Linked DNA regions of Styela clava. The protein of the gene in region 1 binds, or shares a complex with, the protein of each later gene. Links are inferred from orthologs where the notes say so. Each region holds a gene or a part of one and is shown on either strand. Other genes may lie near its edges.

Evidence for each region.
Region 2: the proteins of GTP-binding nuclear protein Ran-like (region 1) and nuclear pore complex protein Nup50-like are in contact, whole or in part, in a crystal structure (PDB 7MO0), measured with the Homo sapiens proteins. The link is inferred for Styela clava from reciprocal best matches to the Homo sapiens genes RAN and NUP50. Residues at the interface, in NP_006316.1 of Homo sapiens: Arg29, His30, Thr32, Gly33, Glu34, Phe35, Glu36, Phe52, Val124, Asp125, Ile126, Lys127, Ser153, Asn154, Tyr155, Phe157, Glu158, Phe176, Ala178, Pro180, Ala181, Leu182, Ala183, Pro184, Glu186, Val187, Asp190, Pro191, Ala194, Tyr197; in NP_009103.2 of Homo sapiens: Pro344, Pro345, Lys346, Val347, Val352, Lys362, Cys363, Lys364, Phe366, Tyr367, Lys368, Asn371, Glu372, Phe373, Lys374, Glu375, Lys376, Gly377, Ile378, Lys384, Lys390, Gln392, Leu394, Arg396, Thr399, Asn400, Leu401, Asn403, Ile404, Leu405.

What each region holds. Positions count from the first base shown.
Region 1 is NC_135252.1:24,000,980-24,011,610, reverse strand, and holds GTP-binding nuclear protein Ran-like, read left to right. Parts: upstream 1-4,111; 5' UTR 4,112-4,176; coding exon 4,177-4,246; intron 4,247-5,880; coding exon 5,881-6,062; intron 6,063-7,405; coding exon 7,406-7,528; intron 7,529-8,193; coding exon 8,194-8,472; 3' UTR 8,473-9,046; downstream 9,047-10,631. UniProt on the Homo sapiens protein: GTPase involved in nucleocytoplasmic transport, participating both to the import and the export from the nucleus of proteins and RNAs. Switches between a cytoplasmic GDP- and a nuclear GTP-bound state by nucleotide exchange and GTP hydrolysis.
Region 2 is NC_135252.1:2,759,255-2,769,885, reverse strand, and holds the start of nuclear pore complex protein Nup50-like, read left to right. Parts: upstream 1-3,518; 5' UTR 3,519-3,620; coding exon 3,621-3,791; intron 3,792-5,073; exon of another isoform or gene 5,074-5,533; intron 5,534-6,324; exon of another isoform or gene 6,325-7,933; intron 7,934-8,367; coding exon 8,368-8,596; intron 8,597-8,929; coding exon 8,930-9,054; intron 9,055-9,272; coding exon 9,273-9,385; intron 9,386-9,711; coding exon 9,712-10,039; intron 10,040-10,121; coding exon 10,122-10,201; intron 10,202-10,292; coding exon 10,293-10,527; intron 10,528-10,631. UniProt on the Homo sapiens protein: Component of the nuclear pore complex that has a direct role in nuclear protein import. Actively displaces NLSs from importin-alpha, and facilitates disassembly of the importin-alpha:beta-cargo complex and importin recycling.

The DNA.
Region 1 (10,631 bases):
AAATGGGTTAAATACATTTCGGTACATCAATATATTTGAGGCACCACAATTCTACCGCAATACATGGTTTTGGCGAAGTTCTTTAAAATTAAATATACACTACAGGCATTCACTCGCGCCTTGGTGGAAAATACCCGGTACCATTCTTTATCAAAACCAGTTTCTAGCTAGTCGAAGTTCTGTGTGATCTGGCTTTTACAAGGAATTTGCTTGTTTATTTCTGGTTGTCAGTTTCCCCTGTTCGGTACAATTTCAAAAGTACTAAAGATATAAACCGGTGCCATCCTGTTACCGCTCAATAAATTTATTTTCGTTTTGTTTGATTCTGTTTCTTTGGTTTAGTTAAATAGGAAAGGATAGGATTTAGGATAGGATTTACATATTTATCCCGGGGGAGAGGAAAGCCGATAAGACGGCTTATCCATATGGCGAACCACGGCCTCTCGTCCGGTTACCATTCCAAGTCGGGTATGGGATTAGTTTTACTGTATTGTTTTTTTTTTTCGGAAGCATGGACTTGGTGGTGGAGGAAGCCGTAACCGACCAGCGGTTACGTGAACCACCCAACGACGGCGAGGAGTCCAGCAATCCTCTCGCACATAACCATCCCTGCATGGGATTCGAACCTGCGAACCCACGCAGAGTAATTAGAGGTGCGGTGGCGAGCGTATTCCTAACGCTTAGCCCGTTGAGCCACACCGCCGCGCGGAACAATAACCTAGCCTAAGATAAACTGAATCAAATAGGACATACTGAATAATTGGGGGTGAGGCAATTGGAGGGCAGTACAGTATCTATAAAACTTTTACCGCTAGGGATAATCTGAGGAAACGGGCAGATTATCGTAAAGTCGTTGTCAAATTAGATAATAGAATCTTGAGCGTCGCCGCTCGATAGACAGCTTTGCATCTCCGCGGGTTCCCTTCCCCAATAAAAGTGTGTACAGTACTTATCATTTCCCTCGTAAATTGTGTGAGATTAATTTCAGATCGGGGAAACTGTGATTAAGGCGCCTTGTTGGCTTTCCCTGGTTAAATAGGACAATTGTATCCTATTCAAACTAGTTTTAGATTTTACCGCTTTAGTACCAGAATTGAGTATTTCCATTCATGTTCAAGTTTATTTTTTTATCCAGTAAAAAATACAAATTACGTTATTCAAGGATAAAAAGCCAATTTTCAATCTTATATTAACATTTTATTGCTACGGTACAAGAGCAATGATTACCGATGTTGTATCCTAGCAAATAACACTTACATAATCTCACGAATGAACTCAGAAACGAGCGATATGCTTGAGTAAACAAACGAGGCAATGGAAAATTTTCAAAACTAAACCACGTGCTGTGACGTCATCGGCGCGAAAGGACGGTCTCGTCTCGATCTGGACGGTTGTTAGTTTCTGGAGGTGAGATTTCGAAATTTTATTTTCATTTAGAAAAAGATGTTTTGTATTTGTGGAGGGGGGAGATAAATACGATGTGACGGCTTAAAATATACGGGTTTTTATAGATTTACCAGTCCATGTCAATTATGGGAATATTTTGGCGCCAAATCGTTTCAGGTCCGCTTACTTTTGCGTTTGATTTCGCGTATTCAGGACATCCGCGGCTGGATTTGATTAATTTACTATTATTTTTTTTGCCAACTGCCGCTACCTCCTATATTCAGTCTTATGATGATAAAGTTTGTTTGCATATTTTATAAAGCTTAGGTACCGTGCAGTCAGACAGTAGTAGGATATCATATTTGCCCCTCCACAATCTGACATTTCTGTTTACAGGTTTAGTCATATCGGATCGGGACACTCAGACATTACAGCATTAGGATAAGTTATGCTATTGCCACACATTTCTCTCTTTATATTGTTCTATAAACAAATCATCCCAATCTTAGGTGATTCATTTTTATGACCTGTTACATTTGTTATGCCTGTATGCTGAAGACGGATCTGTATTGGACTTGGAAACAGAATAGACTACTGGACTACAAGAAACAGTTTAGAAAGTGAGCTAATACAGTAATAAATCCAGTATGCACACTTTAGGATCGAGAGACATTGTCTCGTTTTCAAAGAATCCCATTTTGCCAATGAACTCCTTCCAGCCTTCCTTTTTGGGGACATCTGGACATTGTTGACCCTCAATACAGCAATATCGGCAAAAATACAGTAAAATGAAGTTAGGCAATAGACTACAAAGAAGCGTGATCCAAACACGTCATCATCGAATTCGATTTATCGAAGGAAAAAATTTTTTACCGTGGCATTCGAGAGTTTTTATAAAAAAATGGCAATTTTGATCACATGATGGCCGCGATTAATTTAGATTATTATCGCGACAAGCATGGTGCGATATGACGCATCTGGCGTTGTGCCAGACAACTCTCGTTTGTGAGACACAGGAGTGTTTGGGACATTTCTAGAATTTGAAAAGTATGCCCTACTGCTGTACTGAAATCCAATGGTGATGTTTTTAGATTGCCCTTGCTTTTAGTTTATTGCACAGTGCCAATTTGTCGCTTTAAGCTGATTATGGACATCCAGACTGGGAGTCGCAGTTCTTACCACTTCTTGACAGCTCCTGCCACGAACGAACCGCGACGACTCTTGCCATGGTTTATGGCGCTATCACAGTATTATCGGTATATTCACAAAGTCATGTACCAGATTTACGTTTATCATGCGAAAATATATCTACTTAAACCTGAAACCTAAACCCCAAATACATCTAAACTGTATCTATAAAAAATGTTCCAACTTACGCAATATAAGTCACCATCAGGGCAGCCTTGTCCTAACCATTCAGGTGTATATAACTAACGGCCGACCTGCCGTGGTTTTCAATTTGCAGCCGCGGTAACGGCAGCTCGCCATTGGTTTGTGGCAGTTGGTCGCCGTGAGTTTGGCCATAGTGGCCGTGGTTTGGAAATACCGCTATGGTTTGCGGCAGCTCCAGACGCCGAGAAATGCTTAAAACTGCACTTGAAGACTGGAGGGGCTTGCACTCACTGTTATATTTATTGCCTTTTAATGTGGAGCTATCCTTAGAATGTTCATTTTCTTCAAGTCAGGGCCGTGAAGTCTGATGTACTCGAGACTGAGCAGACTTCCTAATTTCTCAAATTTGAAAGTCCAAGTCTCTATTACCGACTTTCAATGTAGATGGAAAATGGCTGCATTTCCAACAGAAAACTAAGAACAAAGTTTGCCAAGCGCTCTGTGCAGTTTTTGTCTTCAAATCTCAATTTTCTAGGATTTCGGAGTTGATTTCAAATTTTTTACAGGCTGTCAAATCTTTTCTTAACCCACTGTCTGGCAGTACGGCACACTATACAGATTGAGCGACATTGTCTTGTTTCAGAGAAACCCATTTTACCGGTGATCAGACACCCCTCCCCTTTGGGAGACGTCTGGACATTGTTGTCCCTCAATATCGGTGAAAATACAGTATAACGAAGTTGCGCAAAATACTACAAAGAAGCGCAATCTAAATACGTCATCATTGAAGTCCTCGGGAAAAAATAATCCGATTTAACGAAGGAAATTTTTCTTTCATGGCATTTGAGAGATTTTAGAAAAAAACGGCAATTTTGGTCATGTGATGGCCACATTAATTTAGCTATGGCGCGATATGATGCATCTACCTTTGTGCCAGACGCTCCTTGTTTGTGAGACACATAGAGTGTTTGTTTTATCGAACCAAATGAAGGGAAATTCTCGGAATTTGGATAGTGTGTCGTACTGTCTGGAAGTAAATTTCCAGACACCATAATCCTGATACAAATATTCTATTCGCTTTGGATATCTCAGTAGGGCACAGTTTGCAGATTCCAAAATGTCCCAACGTTTGGTTCAATAAAACACTCAATATGTCTCTGAAACATCTGGCATGCAGCAGGTGCATTAGTTCGCACCATGCTTGTCTCAATAATAATCTTAAGTAATCGCAACGAGTGCAGACGCCAAGTGACCTAAATTGCGTTTACTCTCACATAAAGGAGGGAGGTTGCACTCGCTGTTATAATTGATGTCTTTTAATATAGAATCGGAGAATCATGCTATACTGTATATTGACCAGTTTTCTGATCACAAATTTATATTTCTTCTTTAGAAATTAGATATTTTGCTTAGTTAATTTGGCAATTACGGTAGAATTTGTTTGGGAAAACATAAAATATGGCACAGCAACAAGCAGACAGCGACATCCCTCGTTTCAAATTGGTACTTGTTGGTGATGGAGGTGTAGGTAAGTCATATAGGTAGATAAAAAAAAAGTTTCTTACATTTTGAATATTTTTAGGCTGACTATTATTCCCTGAAAAATAGAACTCGCGCAAATGCAGTTTTAGGGGACCGGTCGCTTCAGCTGCTGTGGAGGCTGTCGTGTTTGCGCAGATATCAAATACATTTCAAAGTTGAAAGATCAGGAAAAAATGATTTTTGACTGTTACGGATTTCATGGGAGAAGTTAAGTTCCTTATATTCTTCAAGGCTCAGAATGTCTTGGCATGAACAATTGAAAAGCTTTTCATGATGCTCTTTCATGTCTATTGCTATGAACACGGCCCTCTACAGGCAGGGAGCCACTGATATCTACTACAGGGACAGTGACTCCTCTACAGCCCATGGGCCGGGGCCACGGCCCATCTAATTGGGCCACGTGGGCCGTGGCCCATCAAGCTATGGGCCGCGGCATCATCAGTATATATCAATTGTCTTAACAAAATAGTCCAGTAGTATGTGTACCAGGTTAAGGTTGGGACAAATTTTCGTTCAAGTTTTTCACATTATAGTTCTATTTTGAGTTCGGGGACTGTCTGTGTTAGCCAAGTGAATAGTCCTTTTACACAACTTATTCGATGGGCTGGGCCCCGGCCCATTGGCCATAGAGGAGTCACCACTTCCCCTCGATATCTGAGGATATGTGGAAAGATTGGAATCTTTCTTGATTTTAGGAATAGTCTTTATTTGGAAAATCATTGTCTAAGTGAGGAAGCTTACAGCCAAACCAAAAAAATAACAATGGAATTGTTGAATATGAACTACCGGTAATTTAATGACCTGGCCCGAGTGCAGTGATACGTTTGTCAACAATGCGCGAGGCTTGATGCAGTGATTGTATATTTTTTTAATGGGAATGAAGCATTTCGTTATTAATATATGTTAAATTATTTGTAATTTTACTCAACGAAAGTAGAGGCAAACTTAAAAATTTCAATGCAAACAAAACAACTCGGGCTTGATTTTTAACGTGTAAATACGGTAGAAAACGTATATGGATTGGACGCCGGGTAATTCAGCAGTAAAGCGAAACTAAAGAAAGCAAAAAGTACATTTTTACTATAGCGGAATATTTATTCACAGCGATCGGGCCTCTCGCTTTGTTGATGTCATATCTTCAGCCTCATGGGCCGAAACGTGTGTATGCCACATTCCACATAGAATACAGTCAATATTCGGTACTCCCGTTCCCGTAGTATGGGAACCAAGATGGCGGACACCGGAATGTAGTATGTGTACCAGGTTAGGGTTAGGCCATAATTTCAGGTACAAATACTACGGAACTTCCCAAACTCGTAATAAAACTAAAATTGGAAAAGAATTATGGCCTAACCCTAACCTGGTACACATACTACGTTCCGGTGTCTGCCATCTTGGTGCACATACTACAGGAGCGCCCAAGATTCAAAAATATTATTTTAAAATGTGTTCTGTGTGTATTAGGTTTTATTTGTTTTGCCTTCTTTGGTAATGGGTGTTTTATTTGTTTTGCCTTCTTTGGTAATGGGTAGGGGTTCAATTTCCCACTATAAATTGCAATTTTTTTTATTGTTGTGAATTTCCATATGTTAAATAATTTATTGAAAAAATTTTTTTTAGGCAAGACAACGTTCGTCAAGCGACATCTTACTGGAGAGTTTGAAAAGAAATATGTGGCAACCCTCGGAGTAGAAGTCCATCCGTTAAGTTTTCATACAAATCGTGGAAAAATTATTTTTGATGTCTGGGACACAGCTGGACAAGAAAAATTTGGAGGCTTGAGAGACGGATATTATATTAGAGTAAGTTAAAGTTTCTGAACCCGAGAAAAATTTCTTCCCGCGGGGGGTCGGTTTTGAAGTTTTTGGGAAGGGAATTTTACTTTGTACTTGCGTGTTGACTTAGGGATGCATGCCACTTTTGGATTTATGGATCGATTCGAATCGCATCTTTTGCGAATCAGATTTACGCGACTTGGTAACAGAGAGCGATTTACCGAAAAATAAAAAGATTGAATGTTTGTTTATCTTTGTTTTCGGCGGCATTTAAATTTGCCGAATGCGTTTATGCGGCACTCCAAATAACACCAATTGAGCAAACATAGGCGTGCAATAAGAAAAAAAAAAGCTTAATGGAATCAGATTCGATTCGATTCGAAAAAAAGTGTATCCAGAACTGGCAACCCTACGTGTGGTATCATTTATATTTATACTTAACATGAAACTCAAAAAAAAAGTTACTTTTTGTAAGTGGTCAGCTCATACGCGCATAACTCTGATCGCACTCAATCAAACGAAATGACATTAACCTAATCCAATTCGAACCATGCTTGAACTTGATCACTTGTGTGATTTGTAGGGTCGGCTTATATGCATATTTTTAGAAATTGACCATTTCGGGGCCGTTTTTAGGGGTTTTATATAGTATTTAGTATTATTGTAATGAATATGAATATGCATACATTAACTTATATTTCGTTAACAAAAGCCAGAGTTTGAGTTGCACGCATTGCAAACCAAACGTAAATCAAGAATAAGAAATGCAAATTTTTATGCAAAGTGGGAAAAGACTTGGGAGCTTAAAAGTTGGCCCAGAGAGAAACGGGTCAATAAAGGTGTAGATGGAGTTATTTAAACTATTTCTGGCATTTTTTTTGGGGGGGGGGCTGATTTGATTTGTCTGGGATTGTTGAGTCAGGAGATGAGTTGGGCGCATTCTGGCTGGAGTAGTATTTTCAAACTTTTCAAACCCAGAGTTGTGCGTTAAAATTCTGAATTCTCGGAGTATGTGTCGGGATTTCAGACATTTGATAGTGATGAATTCAAAATAAAATGGATCTTTTAAAGCGTCTTATACTCTTAATTAACAGTTTATCAAAGAAGGCTTGCACTCACAAAATATTTTGTTATCAAGCCTATGTCAAAATTGTGAGGTTTTCCAATGCAAGGAACCCAGGATGGCAAATACTATTAGGGAGAATAAAATTGAATTGAATAAAACGGAATGTCAGTTTTCAGGGGGTATTTAATGGTTTTGGCCTGTTTTTATGAGTTTTTTTCAAGTTTGGGATGGTTTTTGCATGTTTAACGAATTTTTTGTTTAAAAGTCTTTTTACAGTTCATAACTTTATTTTCTCGATTGACAGGGTCAATGTGCGATTATTATGTTTGACGTGACGTCCCGTATTACGTACAAGAACGTACCTAACTGGCATCGCGATCTGGTTCGAGTTTGTGAGAATATTCCCATCGTGATGGTTGGAAATAAGGTAGGCCACTTGATTTTTATTACTGCACTGCTTTGATCGGGTTTTTATCCATACCCAGGGCACATTAGGCTATAAGGTGCAACGGTTTTTGATGCAATATCGCTGTTGGTATTTTAGTGTAGGTAATAAAGCATGGAGTTCTACCTGAATGATACATTAGGCAAATTTTTGGAAAGAAAAGTACGCCTAAGGATTTGAAATTCGCCTAGTGCCCCATTATGCCAATATTTTTTTGGGTACTCCCGCCGAAGTATGTGAACCAAGATGGCGGACACTGGAACGTAGTACGTGTACCAGGTTAGGTCATAATTTTATTCCAATTTTCCTATTTTAGTTCTAATACATTTTAATGGTGTCAAGACAAAAATACGGATGTTGAAATTTGAAAAAAAACTCGTTTAAAAAATTAAAAAGAAGTAATAGGTGCCTTCAAGCTAATATCTAATCATAGTTTGAACTTGATGATGAAGTAAGCCGTAGCTGACCTGATGTTACATGAACTACCTCAAGACAGTGAGGTGTCGAGCAATCCTCTCGCATGTAATTCTCTCTCACAGGTTTTGTAGTGCCGAATCCATGCAGGGTAATCAGAGGTGCGAGCGTATTTCTAACTCTCAGCACTAGATTACCGCCGAGCTGATCTTTTTCCATTTATTTTTACTCAGGTCGACATTAAAGATCGCAAAGTGAAAGCAAAGGCAATCGTTTTCCATCGAAAAAAGAATTTGCAGTACTATGATGTTTCGGCCAAGTCCAATTACAATTTTGAAAAACCGTTTCTTTGGTTGGCACGAAAATTATGCGGAGACGCCAACCTCGAATTTGCGGAAATGCCTGCTCTGCAACCACCAGAGGTCAGCGTAGATCAAGAAATGATTAAAAAATGGGACGCGGAACTTGCTCAGGCTGCCAATGCACCTTTACCAGAGGAAGAGGATGATTAATTTAAAAAAATCCCCCTCCCACCTTTTGAAAAAAAATATACTCAATCTTATGTATGGTCGAAGTGTTGCCACTCTCAGCCTTTCTTTGATGGCAATAAACTCGGCAGAATTTTATGGTCATTACTCCCACCGGAAATACTCTCTTGTGCCTCTTTGTGTATAGTCTCGGCAGTATTTTGTGTTATTTCACCCCACTGGAAAAAATACTCTCTACTGCCTGCTTGTGTATAGTTTCGGTAGCATTTTGTGTTCTTCCGCCCCACTGGTGAAAAATCTCTCTACTGCCTCCTTGTTTATAGTTTCGGCAGCATTTTGTGTTCTTTGCCCCCACTGAAAGAACTCTCTACTGCCTTCTTATGTTTGGTCTCTGCAAAATTTTGTGTTCTCCCACTGGGAAAAAACCCTCTACTGCCCTCCTATGTTTCTCTCCCACTAGAAAAACTCTCTATCACCCCTCGTGTTTAGTTTCTTTTTGCATCTCCACTGCCCTCTAGCATATAATCTCCCTTTTTTATTAGCCCATGCTAGCTCATCTTGTTTTCATGAAAGATAGCGAAATTTTGTTGTTTTACTAGTTTCACATTGCTATAGCAGTACTACTGGGTAGTTTTTTAAGGAATTTGGGTTTCTATCGGCTACTTAATAGTTCTCACTAGTCTAGCGTCTCTAACTTTGCTCTGTTTTGGAGATTTAAAAATGTAAATTAAATCCAGATTGAATGATTTTTCTAATTTTTAGAAAAATATGTTGAATTATTGCTAAATTTAATATTTTTTGGGGATTTGGAATTACATCGATTCTCTGAAAGTCTGGTGTCGCCTCTCAGTGTGCTACAATCAGTGTAAATTTTTTTGACCCAATAGAGTAGGATATTTCCAGTCTGTGAGAAATTTAATTCCAGCTGCTATACTAATCATCCGTAGGAAATTAAATATTCTATTTTCTTTTGAAACATTGCCAACTGAACCATTTGCACCATACCAGGTCTGTGCTGTTTTGGGATATTTGAAAAATTGGAAAAACTTAGTTTGCAACTAAAAGTTGTGTGTGCGTTATTTCAATCTCTATACTAATTAGGCCCTTTCAAGTAGACAATTTAAACATTGACTGCAATATATTGTTTGCCCCTCTGTATCAGGGGTGTGCACACTGCGGCCCGAAAAAAAAAATTGTGCGGCCCGCGATGAAAAAACAGTTTTTGAATTGTATGCTCGCGTAACGAGTATTAAGTTCGGATAATCCGGTATATTCTGCTAGCAAAATGGAAGATTTATATTACAAAAATGTGTTCCTCACTGAAGTGGTTTAAATTTAAATAACAGTTTCTCAAAATAACAGACGCCCATGCGTTTTAACTCACCATTTTTGCAAGAAAGCCTAATAGTGCCGTAAGAACATTAGTAAAAATAAGCAATTTTTGTGCTTGCAACTTCTAAAAGGTGCGGCCCACGGCTTCACCCGGTTACTTGTATTTGGCCCGCTCATGAAAAAGGTTGCACACCCCTGCTCTGCATCAGAGCTACTCAACTATTTTTACCGAAGATCCGCATACAAAACTTGAAAAATATTTGGGTCCGGTCTTTTCAGAAATTATATTTGGGCATCCTTGAACATGCACTTTCTCGGCCGACTTATGATAATTAGCTAATCAAGATCGTTTTTTATGGCGTTATAGTTCTTTTCGTATATTTTTAAATCTATAAAAGGGATATTATAAAAGGAAAATTCAAAAGTGGGAATGTTGATCCAAAATAAAGAATTAGTTGCGGTCCAAATCAAATACGCGGAAAGTCCGGATTGGGAACGCTAGTTGAGTAGCCCTGCTCTGCGTGTGCTGTTTCTGTAAACATCTAAAACCTAGTTTGTAACTCTCCTCTCTGATTACGGTAGGCCCTTCTACATAGACAATTAAAATATTGGCTGAAGTAAACAAACATTTGCTCTTTACTGGTTCTCTGTGTGCCTGGTGAGGTTTGTCTTTAAAGACAATTTAAAAGTTGGCAAAACTATCGTTTGCTGATGTTGTTTTGCAGGATTAAGATTTTGAAATGCCAGCTAAACTATGTCGATTGCTTCTTAGTGTTCGAGAATATAATCAATATTGTCTGTATTATTATAGATTTTCAGTTTTTTGCTACATTCGTTATTTTGAAACTTTT
Region 2 (10,631 bases), about 21 Mb from region 1:
ATGTGTGCGTAAAGTTCCATTGATCTCGATTGGAAAAGAAATATAATATTTGCTTTTATATAAAACATCATGCCTTCCCATGTAGTCTGGTATGCGGCTACCTTCGATCTGTTGTCTTAGCAAGTTCTAGACTAATTCCGATTTGCTATTTTGTGTTTCACGTAAAGCTCATGGACCGTCTAAAATGTTTCTGTAAAACTTTGTTTTATCACCATAATTCTACGGTATCAAAGTTTCAGTATCTGTTAGCATTTCAGTGGTCGCCTGAAAGAGATGAGTCTGCTTCACTTCTGAGTAAGAACGAAAGGCCCAGCTTTAATGTTCGATTTCGATACGATATATTATATACGATACATGACACGCATGTAATATACTTAATGTGCTTAACCGTATTCGGGTTACAATTTTTAGAACATTCTTCCATTTACTACTTCTGCTCCTGTATACATGTAATCTATACCCGTGTAATCTATACATGGAGGCTTGGCCAGTTAAAGTTAGCGTTGTGATGATCAGGTGACAAGATTTTTGCGATTCCAAACCACAACTATCTCATGAAATAGCCAAAGCAGAAGATATAGGCATATCAGATAATATACGAATAGGTGGCATCGTTATCAGAAACTTTCCCCGGGCAACAGAACCGTATGCAGTATGGGATCAGATGTGCGTATGTGCCAATTTTCAAGGTGGAAATATCTATGAGTGCAAATTTTGGTGGGTACAAAAGTATACAGGTGCGATTTACGTGAGTAAATAAATTTACATGGGTGCAAATGTGCCGTCACCTGATATACTTTTCGAGAGTTCGCCCTTATTATTTACCTGAGTCAATTTCATCATTTTATTGAAGCCGGAATGGCATTGAATATTAATCTTATCCCTTATGCTTATAGTGTTGAATAAGACGGGCTTTATAGCAGCTAACAATTGTTCATTGAAGTTTCGGATAAACTAATAACATACAATAATATTGACATACATACAACAATAAAGTAGCAAATATCGTGTTAACATCGCAGAAAGACGGAATATTGTATTATGTTATTTGCCGTGACACTGTCCTGTACACTTGTTTTTATGATGACAAATACCCTCCATAATGTGTTTTCTGCGTGTGATAGTTGCGAAAAGGAGGAGAGAGAATTTATTTTTAATTTATAGATAATTTCGTCAATATTTTTTCGTCAAACCAGAAAGCACATAATAAATAAGAATAAAATACGAGAATTAAAAGTTTTCGATGACCATTCGAAATATGTATGAAAGTCGGATTTTCACTATTGAAAAGAATAACCACTTTCCTTTCAAAGTCTGAAAGCTCTTTCCTGCCTTCCTCCACAATATGGGTTTCAAAATAGAAATCGAATAAAACCTGACCAGTATGGATGTTTCCTTCACCCCTGGAAGATTCTCCCTATATTCACGTTGTTATTGCCAAATATTCAGCTCTGATTTTGCGAGTGGTTTGGAGAGTTGGCGCTCACAAACTCGCTCACATGTTCAAATCTATCATTTCTATTCAAACATAACAAACTTATTGCTGATTTGTAATTGTTACGGAAATAAACAAGAAATGATGCTCGGGGTAACATTCATCAACCTGAAATAAATAAAAACGTATCGAAAAAGAAACGAGAATATCGGTCAGAGACCGAAGACTTATCGATCGAAAGTTAGGGTACCCCCAAAACAGCGCTCTTACTTCATAGTGACGCCTTGCGTCCCATCACTAATTAATTAATAACTCGCAAATTATACGACATAATTCATCCAAAATCAATAGGCTTCTGGTACGACATATGATGAATGCACATGCAAAATCTGGTGCAGATTCAATCTCGCTTTTGTGAGATATCGCGTGCATCTAACAGACAGACATACAGACAAACAAATACCTATCAACATACTTACCTATTAAAATCGATACGTAATGAGTTAGCACGCATTTTATTCGTAATCTCATCTGACCTTCAAATTTCCTGCTTTTCTAGCGACCACCCTGGCAGGGGTCGGCAACCTTTTGTCGCGCGCTCGCTATTTTCAGAAAGTTGAAAAAACGAACGAATGATACTTTTCACGATAAAAAATGAAATCAAGAAGGAATACATTTCTCGAATTGAATATAGATTGATTTCATCATTGCATTGCATCCGAAAAAATTTCATTCGAATATTTTCAGCGCCATTGAACCCTTTGCACTTAGCATCAACTTTGCGTTTTGTTGCCATTCGTCTATAAGCTCATTAAACGAGGTTTTGTGGAATATATACTTGTTAGGGTATAATATAATTTAGTTTAGCCTACACGTGTCTCACAATAAATTCTGTTACGTAAAAAATATAACCGTCATAACAGCCGTTTTGTTACTTAAATTCAGTGAAGCGTCGAGGGCTGGATTATTATTACTCCACGGGCCGGATCTGTTTTGAAATTTGAAGCAAAATTTAGTAAACTAGTGTTTACTTGGGCAGTACAATTGTTAGGTTGCAATCATACGCACATCCCAGTTAAGTCATAGATAACGTTACACACCAGGGAAGTCATAGATAAAACATCCACCATGTAAATGTAAGCGGTACCATGCGTAAAAATTAAGCGTGCAATATTATGAAATGTCTAATCATGGTTTGGCAAGGAAGAAAACTGTGAATATATTTTTACAATACTGTATATTATAATACGATATTCTACACAATTTAGAGATGTAGGTTTTAAAATTTTGATAAAAATGAAAATATTGGTAGATTAAAGAGTATACGGTTGGACATGTACATGGCACAAATATTTTCAAACTGGGGAGAACCAGGTATAAATACACTCTTATACATGACATATCCACACCAGTATCCATTTGAAAATAGATTTGCCTTCATAATTAATATTTGGATATGATTTGTTTCATGAACTCAGATTTAAATTTTTTATAAGAGAAGGTTTTGAAAATGTCAGGAATATCATTTCAAATTTTGAGCCCAATGATTCTGATTAAATATTGAGCTAAATTTGAGTTTATTCGAGGATTGAAAAACGCTCCTTTGGAAGCAGAACGAATGCCATGTGAATGCACAGAACCACAGTCGGTAAAAATACGAATTGAAGGCTTTAGTTTATTGCTAACATTACAAAGATATAGTTTTGTTGAAAAATTAAATTTTTCATTTATCACAATACAAATTTTCTTCAATCAATGCCGATTTTTTTCTATTTATATTTAAATTTATTATTACAATAAACGCGTCCCGAAGTTATTTTGTGGCAAGAATTTTGAAGAATCATTCCTCAACCACGCATTCACAGGTAGTGTTACTTTTAATTTAAACTATATATTTACTTTATCCTACTCTAATATTTACAAATAGGCCTAACGTTATATGAAACTAAGACTTACAAAATATAAAATGAATTTATTCTTTTATTGTCCCGATAGTGATTTCGAACTTTTTTAGATGCCTCGATATTCTCGTGGCATATGCCTCCACTAGAAGCCAGATGTGCCTCATATATGTGCCTTATTGAAGATACAGTATTTCGTTCCTCAGCAGGGTTATTTTGGTCACTTGCACGTTACTTGCTCAATTCTGCGATTCGTGAATGAGTGAACTAGGTCTAGCGCCACGATGTCGAAGCGTGTCGCTGATAAATACTTAACAGACCAAAATTGGGACAAGGAAGATGAGGTTGATGATGACGATAACTCTGGAACATTCAAGACAGCGGATAATGATGTTTTGCAAACCCGTGTTATTCGAAAAGCAAAGCGTAGGATTGTTGGTAGCAGTCAACAATCGGTGAGTGTTGCAAATAACAGAATAATTACTAAATGGTGTTGTGTTGTATAGTTATGCTAAACCAGGATAACATAATAATTCAGTAGACTAATTTTATCATTTTACTCTATTATAGCCTAGTTTAAGGGTGGAGATCAAAAACCTCACTTAACTTAAACTTGGATTAAGACTAATCTCGGGTTAGTTAAACTCGGTTTAACTTCGATAGTTAACCGGTGATCAAAAACCTAGTTTAGCGGTTACTTAACTAATCGTGGTTTAAGTCCGACGCCACGAGGCATTTCATTAAAACGTCGTGGCATGTTGCTCTTTGACCCCGTATTCCCATGGCGATGACAACGCGAACCCAATTTTGTTGTAATTTGCTGTCTTTGCAAAGTCGGTTTTTGATGTATTTCGTTGATATTGCCGAAGCAAAACAATCTGGGCGGTAGAACTACGAAGAGCTGACGCGCATCACACGAAATATCGAAATAATAACACTTTATCATAAATAGAATTCTTCCCACTACTGGTACAGTCTACAACTACAACAGGGTCGGCTAACCATTTTGGTCTAAGGGCCACATGTAATTCATTAATAATTGCGCGGGCCAATTGACATGTTAGTTATGATCTAGTTTTGCTACACTACTACAGGTTAATAATAAAAAAATACCCTCACATCGATTTTTCACAATTATTAGAACAATAAAACTGTTGTTTTCCAAACATTGACGGGTCATCATCAGTGGTTATTCCCGAAAGTTTAGCCAAAGACAAGACGCTTAATCATTTTTATCACAGCTGTCGAACAAATCAATGCTTCTAGTCAAACCCTTAACAGGGGCAATGGCTGCGGTCTCCACGGTAATTTTATATCATCATTAACTACCCGCAAAAAGATAGCAAGTCACCAACTGAGCAGTAAACTTAATGTCAGCGCTTCCTCAAGCGCCAAGGAATACAATAAAAAATATCCCGCTTTTGCGATTAAAATTCTCGCGATAGAATTCCCAAGCTCTTCAACAAGACGAGTTATGGTCTGTCTTGACAGGCTATTTTTGCAAACACCTAGAAATGCTTCTACATATGGCCCGATGGCCACGAGTTGGACGACCCTGGTCTACAACACCAATTGAATCTAACATTTTCTCCTAAACCTCAGCGTAACAACAAACAGACTTCAATTATAGAACCCACATCCTACTTAGAGTGAAAACAGACGAAATGAACACACTTCAGCTGAAAACCTATCCCTGGCAAGTTCTGGGCCACAGGCTTCTACATATTTAACATAATATTATTTTGAAAATTTGTATTGCAAAAATAACTAATATTCATTTGTTCAAATGACTGCTAAAATGTACTGACATTCAAGAAATGGAAAAAGTATAGAATCAATTCGGAAGAGGTGCTAAATTTTATCCTGGCTCTACAGCTTTGAGACAGATGCACACAGACACAGGTGCAATCATAGTTGTTGCTTTCGTTGCTATTTAAAAGTTTTATTTATTTCTTCTGCGAAAGACTCGCCAAGTGACGAAAAATCGACATAATTACTTTTGCTTCAAATGTTTTAGCATGCAAGAATAATTTGTTTGTTAAGCTTAAGTTAACCGGGTTCCACATATTTGTTGGACACAAAGGCGGGTTCCACATATTTGTTGGACACGAAGTCGTAAAATAAAGCACTGCTGCAATCTTGACTTGACAACACTTTTACTATAATCCTATCCATAACAGTTGTTTGTCTTCATGACCTGAACAGTATAAATGAAAATACAGGGTTAAAGATAGTATATTGATGAAGTGCGCTAGATATTAAAGAACCAAATTCGACCTAGGCAATGACTAAAACCGAATAATTTGTATTCGAATTTGTACAGATTTTTTTGTATTCTGAAATGATATTTTTGAATTACATAAAATCCAATGTATATTTAATTATATGAATTTGGAAAAGTAAAACAGTAGAGTATTTTTAGTTTTCAGATATTAAATGAAGGCTCTTTTGTCTTCGATTGTGATTGCATGTCGAACAACTTTGCTCTACTCTAAAATCATGTGACACTAGTTTTGCCTGCATGTAACAAGAAATGACTAATGGGAATGATTTTGAAAAGTTTGTCACATCTCGGTTACTTGAACATATCTGGGACAATACCAATAAGAAATTTACCTTGATGAAAGTATCCTCACAGGTTCCATTACATTTGAACCCACGTACATTTGAACCCATGACAATTGCACCTGTATGCTATTGCACCTATGGAATTTTTTTTGTTTCACGGATAGTTAAACCCATACTAACCCTAACCCATGGGTTTTAGCACCCGCATATAGATTGAACCCGTGGATAGACGCATGGGTTCAAATGTACATGGGTTCAAATGTACGGTCACCATCCTCACATTATACGAATAATACAGATTATACACACAAACTAAAAATAATTTTCATTTAACAGCTGATACTAAAGAAGCTGATACGAACGTGAATTTAGGACAGTTTACATACAAATAATATGACATTTAAATAGTGACAAACTCACAAATTTGCTCTACCAATAGAGCTGATGAAATTGATCATCATCATGGCACTCAGACAGTTTACTTGATTTGAAACAGCTGTAGAAATAAATGAAAAATCAGAAAACAATGTTACATTAAAGAAATGTTATGATAGCATGAACCTTTGCATTCATGATAAGTTATTGGCAATATATAGTTATCAATATACTCATTTCTGCAATCTAGCATTTGGTGAAATTCATGGTCACGGTACTTCAATATTCTAGTTTCATTTTATATAGCAAGAGTCAGAATCATTAATACCATAAATATCGTACATCTGTGCAAACAGCATACCAATAACATGCAATATGATTTTACATTGGTGTACATCAAAATATCCAGTCAACCTTCTGCTATCTACTTCGGGAACTTGCAGACTTGTGAATTAGCCGATGACAAGATACATACACCGGGGCACAGTGCAGTAGTGATACATGGATATCGTAGGTAAATCTTAGTTCTGCTCATACACAAAATATAATTAAAAGGAATCTTTTGGGCACTGGTAGATCTAAATATCTGAAAATATATCATTTTTGTTAAAACATTTTGAAGTTTATATTACTGTATTAGGACTAGGAGTATCTGTTCGACGGTACCACTGCGCAACTGCTTATCAACGAAACTGTACTAAAATACTGGGCCCTATGTCTGTTTATGACAAGAACCCATATAGCAATAGGCTACTGGTATAACTGTAGTCTACAATCTAAGTTAAAATAAATCTTCACAAAAACTGCTAAGAAAATTAAAAAACGCAAATAGCCTACAGAAATGTATCAATACGCTGGGTATGTATTTACCTTACTAGATTTATTATAGTATAGCCCCATTCCACGTTGTAAATAATTTTGTTCGGGCGTAGTACGGTAGGTACTAGGTACAGCACAGGTACCACCGCGAATGCTACATATCGCAGCCTCGTGGTACAGGTATACAATTATTTATTCGTCGTGACGCTTGTACAGAGCTCCCTGCTACTCCTTTTGTCGCCCCAGAATACAATATAGATTGTACGGTAAGCGATAACATCCAACACGACAAACGCCGCAATCCAAATGCACTGGACAAACCGAGTTAAACCACCTCCAGACCAGGTTTAAAAAATCGCCGATTTTAAGTCGAGATTTACGTCACAGAAAGTTAAACCACCTTTTTGATCCGGACCTAAACCGCCGATCCAAAGTTAAACTCTGATTCGAGGTTAAACTACCTTTTTGATCTCCACCCTAAGTATTGTTAAGCTTATTTCGACTTCATAATCAAGACGGCAAGATGACTTCATAATCAGACAATAAAATAATTTATAAAAACTTAGTCTCTAACTGTATAAATAAAAATTGATTACAGGTGAGCATGCAAACTGACAAAAACTAAAGTAAGGTTTATCGCAATGGGTCAAAACAAAAAAATTTGGCGACACTTGAGGGCCAGACCATCGAACAACCTATTAGTTTCTAGCAACTTGAAGTTGAGCTAACATTAGCAAAAAAAAGATTTCCGTGCTACTTTGGTATGCGATCTTAGTAGTGTGATTTTAGTTAGGGTTAGAAATCGAATTCGATGAGAATATCTTAATGAGATAAAACGCATGCCGAAGTGCCACCACAATTATTGCCACTTTGGTATACGATTGAGATCACATTAAGCAAGTGAGATGATATATCAAAGTGGCATCGAGATTACTTTTTGTATGGATAATTTTTCAAATTCCTATAAATAAAGCTTCCTAAAATAATAATAATGGATAATAAAGTCTTTAACGTGCCAAACATGTTCGACGGGCTGGATATTGCACTCCTCTGATTTAAAGCATACACTGATAGTCTTATACAGTATTTAAATTTGGAAGTGGTCCGTGGTCACCTAAAAGTGTTTAATTATTTCACGCATACATAATTATTATATCTCTCTCTATTTTATCGATTTCTTTTTAATATGTTTTATAGTCAGGTAGAGCATAGATTTTACTATATTCTTATTATGTCTGAATAAGATTTGTCAAATTGGATTTATTTCAGACAGCCTCGGCATTTTCTGGTTTTGGTGGATTGAAAGCCCCAACAAATAGTACCAAACCTTCGTTCGGTGGTTTCAATCTACCAACTTCTGGAAATGGAAGCAATGTTTCTCAAATGAAACCGTTTTCAATGTTTCAATCTACTGGATCCAGTGGATCAGCTGCAACTCAGCCAACTATTCAATCTTCATCAGGGGATAAATCATCTACTAGGACGTTAGAATCCAAAAGTAAATATTTTTTTTACTGAATATTCAGCACCCAAACTGTGAACAAGGCTATAAACCAGCATTCACAAGTCACAACCATGTAGAAGCTACTGTTTCATGAGGATTATGATATTTAGTTTGGTATACTGTCTGACTTTACTTAATATATTACACTTTAGATGTGCACTTGGAGTTTAAACTCGAAATCTTCAGCCTGTGACTTCAAACATATCTGGGCTAGCACGATTTGAAACTAATTCTTATTCAAAGGTCCCAAGTTTAATGCCTTTTTAATATTTTTCAGTGGTATTATAACAATGTTTTCATTTTATCTGAGCTTAATTTTGACTTTAGCCGCGGATAGTACAACTTCAAAAACTATTGAAATAAAGTCGAGTGATGATGATACAACACAAAACTCAAGAGAATACAACAGGCAGCTCAGTGCTTTGAATCGAAGTGTTAGTGAATGGATAAAGGTATCCTATCAATCGCAAAATATATTTTGTTAGGAGCAATTTTTATTTGAATGCTAGAATAGAAAATTTAGTTGTACAATTTAGTCAGTAACGAATCAATGTCTATTTTATAAAATTTTGTTGATCTGATCCATTATGAGCCACTCAGTTCCAATTGATTCATAAATGTGAAAATAGTTTGTTTCGAGAAGTTTTTGGTAACCTATTATTAATTTCAGAATCATGTGGAAAAGAATCCATTGTGCGATCTCACTCCTATTTTTCTGGATTATAAAAAATATTTATCTGAAATAGATGACAAGTATGGACATTCAGACAATGAAGGTTCATCGTAAGTAATGTACCCTTTATGGCTTATGCTATTCTTTGCTGAATTAATAAGAAATGCTTTACGGTTTTAAGTATGTTACATTAAATTTCGAACATTGTTTATAAATTACAGCAAAAACAAATTGGTAAAAGTTTTTGTGATCTCGGTCTGTTCAATAGTTAAAATCTCATAAAATTTCTTGCCATTATTTGGAGATGGACTTAATCGATTGAAAAAATAGTTCAATGCACTATTATTCCACATTTATTTAATACAATCACATTGATTATGTCTTTTGTACGAAAAATACCCTGCAGTAATTATTGATTGAACTATATTTCTTCCAGGCAAAATTCATTCCAAGTATCAGATTCACAAGAGACAGTTTCTCTAAAGTCTTCTCAAAATTCTTCTCTAACTTCAAGCGTTTCTGACAAACCAAAGTTTTCTCTGACTGGGTTTGGTAGCAAAACAGAAGAGCCAAAACCAATTGAAATTAACTCTAAAACTGATGCTCCAGTCAGTAAACCATTATTCTCGGGATTTCAAACTTCCACAACAACTTCTTCACCTTTCAAAGGATTTAATGTTTCAAAAACAACTGCATTTCCGGGATTTTCATTTAGTTCATCCATGGTCGGTTCAGGAGGCTCAACCAAGCAAGCGTCCGGGCAGGTAAATTCTGTTTGAGATCTAGTCAGTGTTTTTAGAATAAAATTGTTCTTATGGATGAGAGATATGTTGATTGTTTTTACAGGGTAAAGACGAAGAGGAATATGTTCCACCAAAACCCGAAAGTAATGTTGTTGCGGATCCAGAAGCTTTCTACTCTATCAGGTGCAGTTTTCGAAATGTTGTTGGGGGGCCTTATAGGGATAACAGCCTATCATAGAGTTAAATGAAGAAGTATTCCAATTCATTCCTACAGGTGCAAACTTTACTATAAAAAGGAAGGTGCTTATGCTGACAAGGGTGTTGGACAACTTTATCTAAAGCCATCTGGAGACAAAACACAATTAGTCATCAGAGCTGATACTGCAATAAGTCAGATCTTGCTTAACATTCACCTTATTCCTGCAATTCCAGTTAAAAAGCAAGGAAAAAATAATGTATTGATAATGTGTATTCCTAATCCTCCAATTAATGAAAAAGAAAAGGACAAGGTGAGCTTTAAATTTTCTTATAAGAAAAAATAATTTTGCCTAGAGCATTCTGTCTTGTACTACATTTCAGGTATCTCCTAATGCAATATCTTCGGTAAACTAAA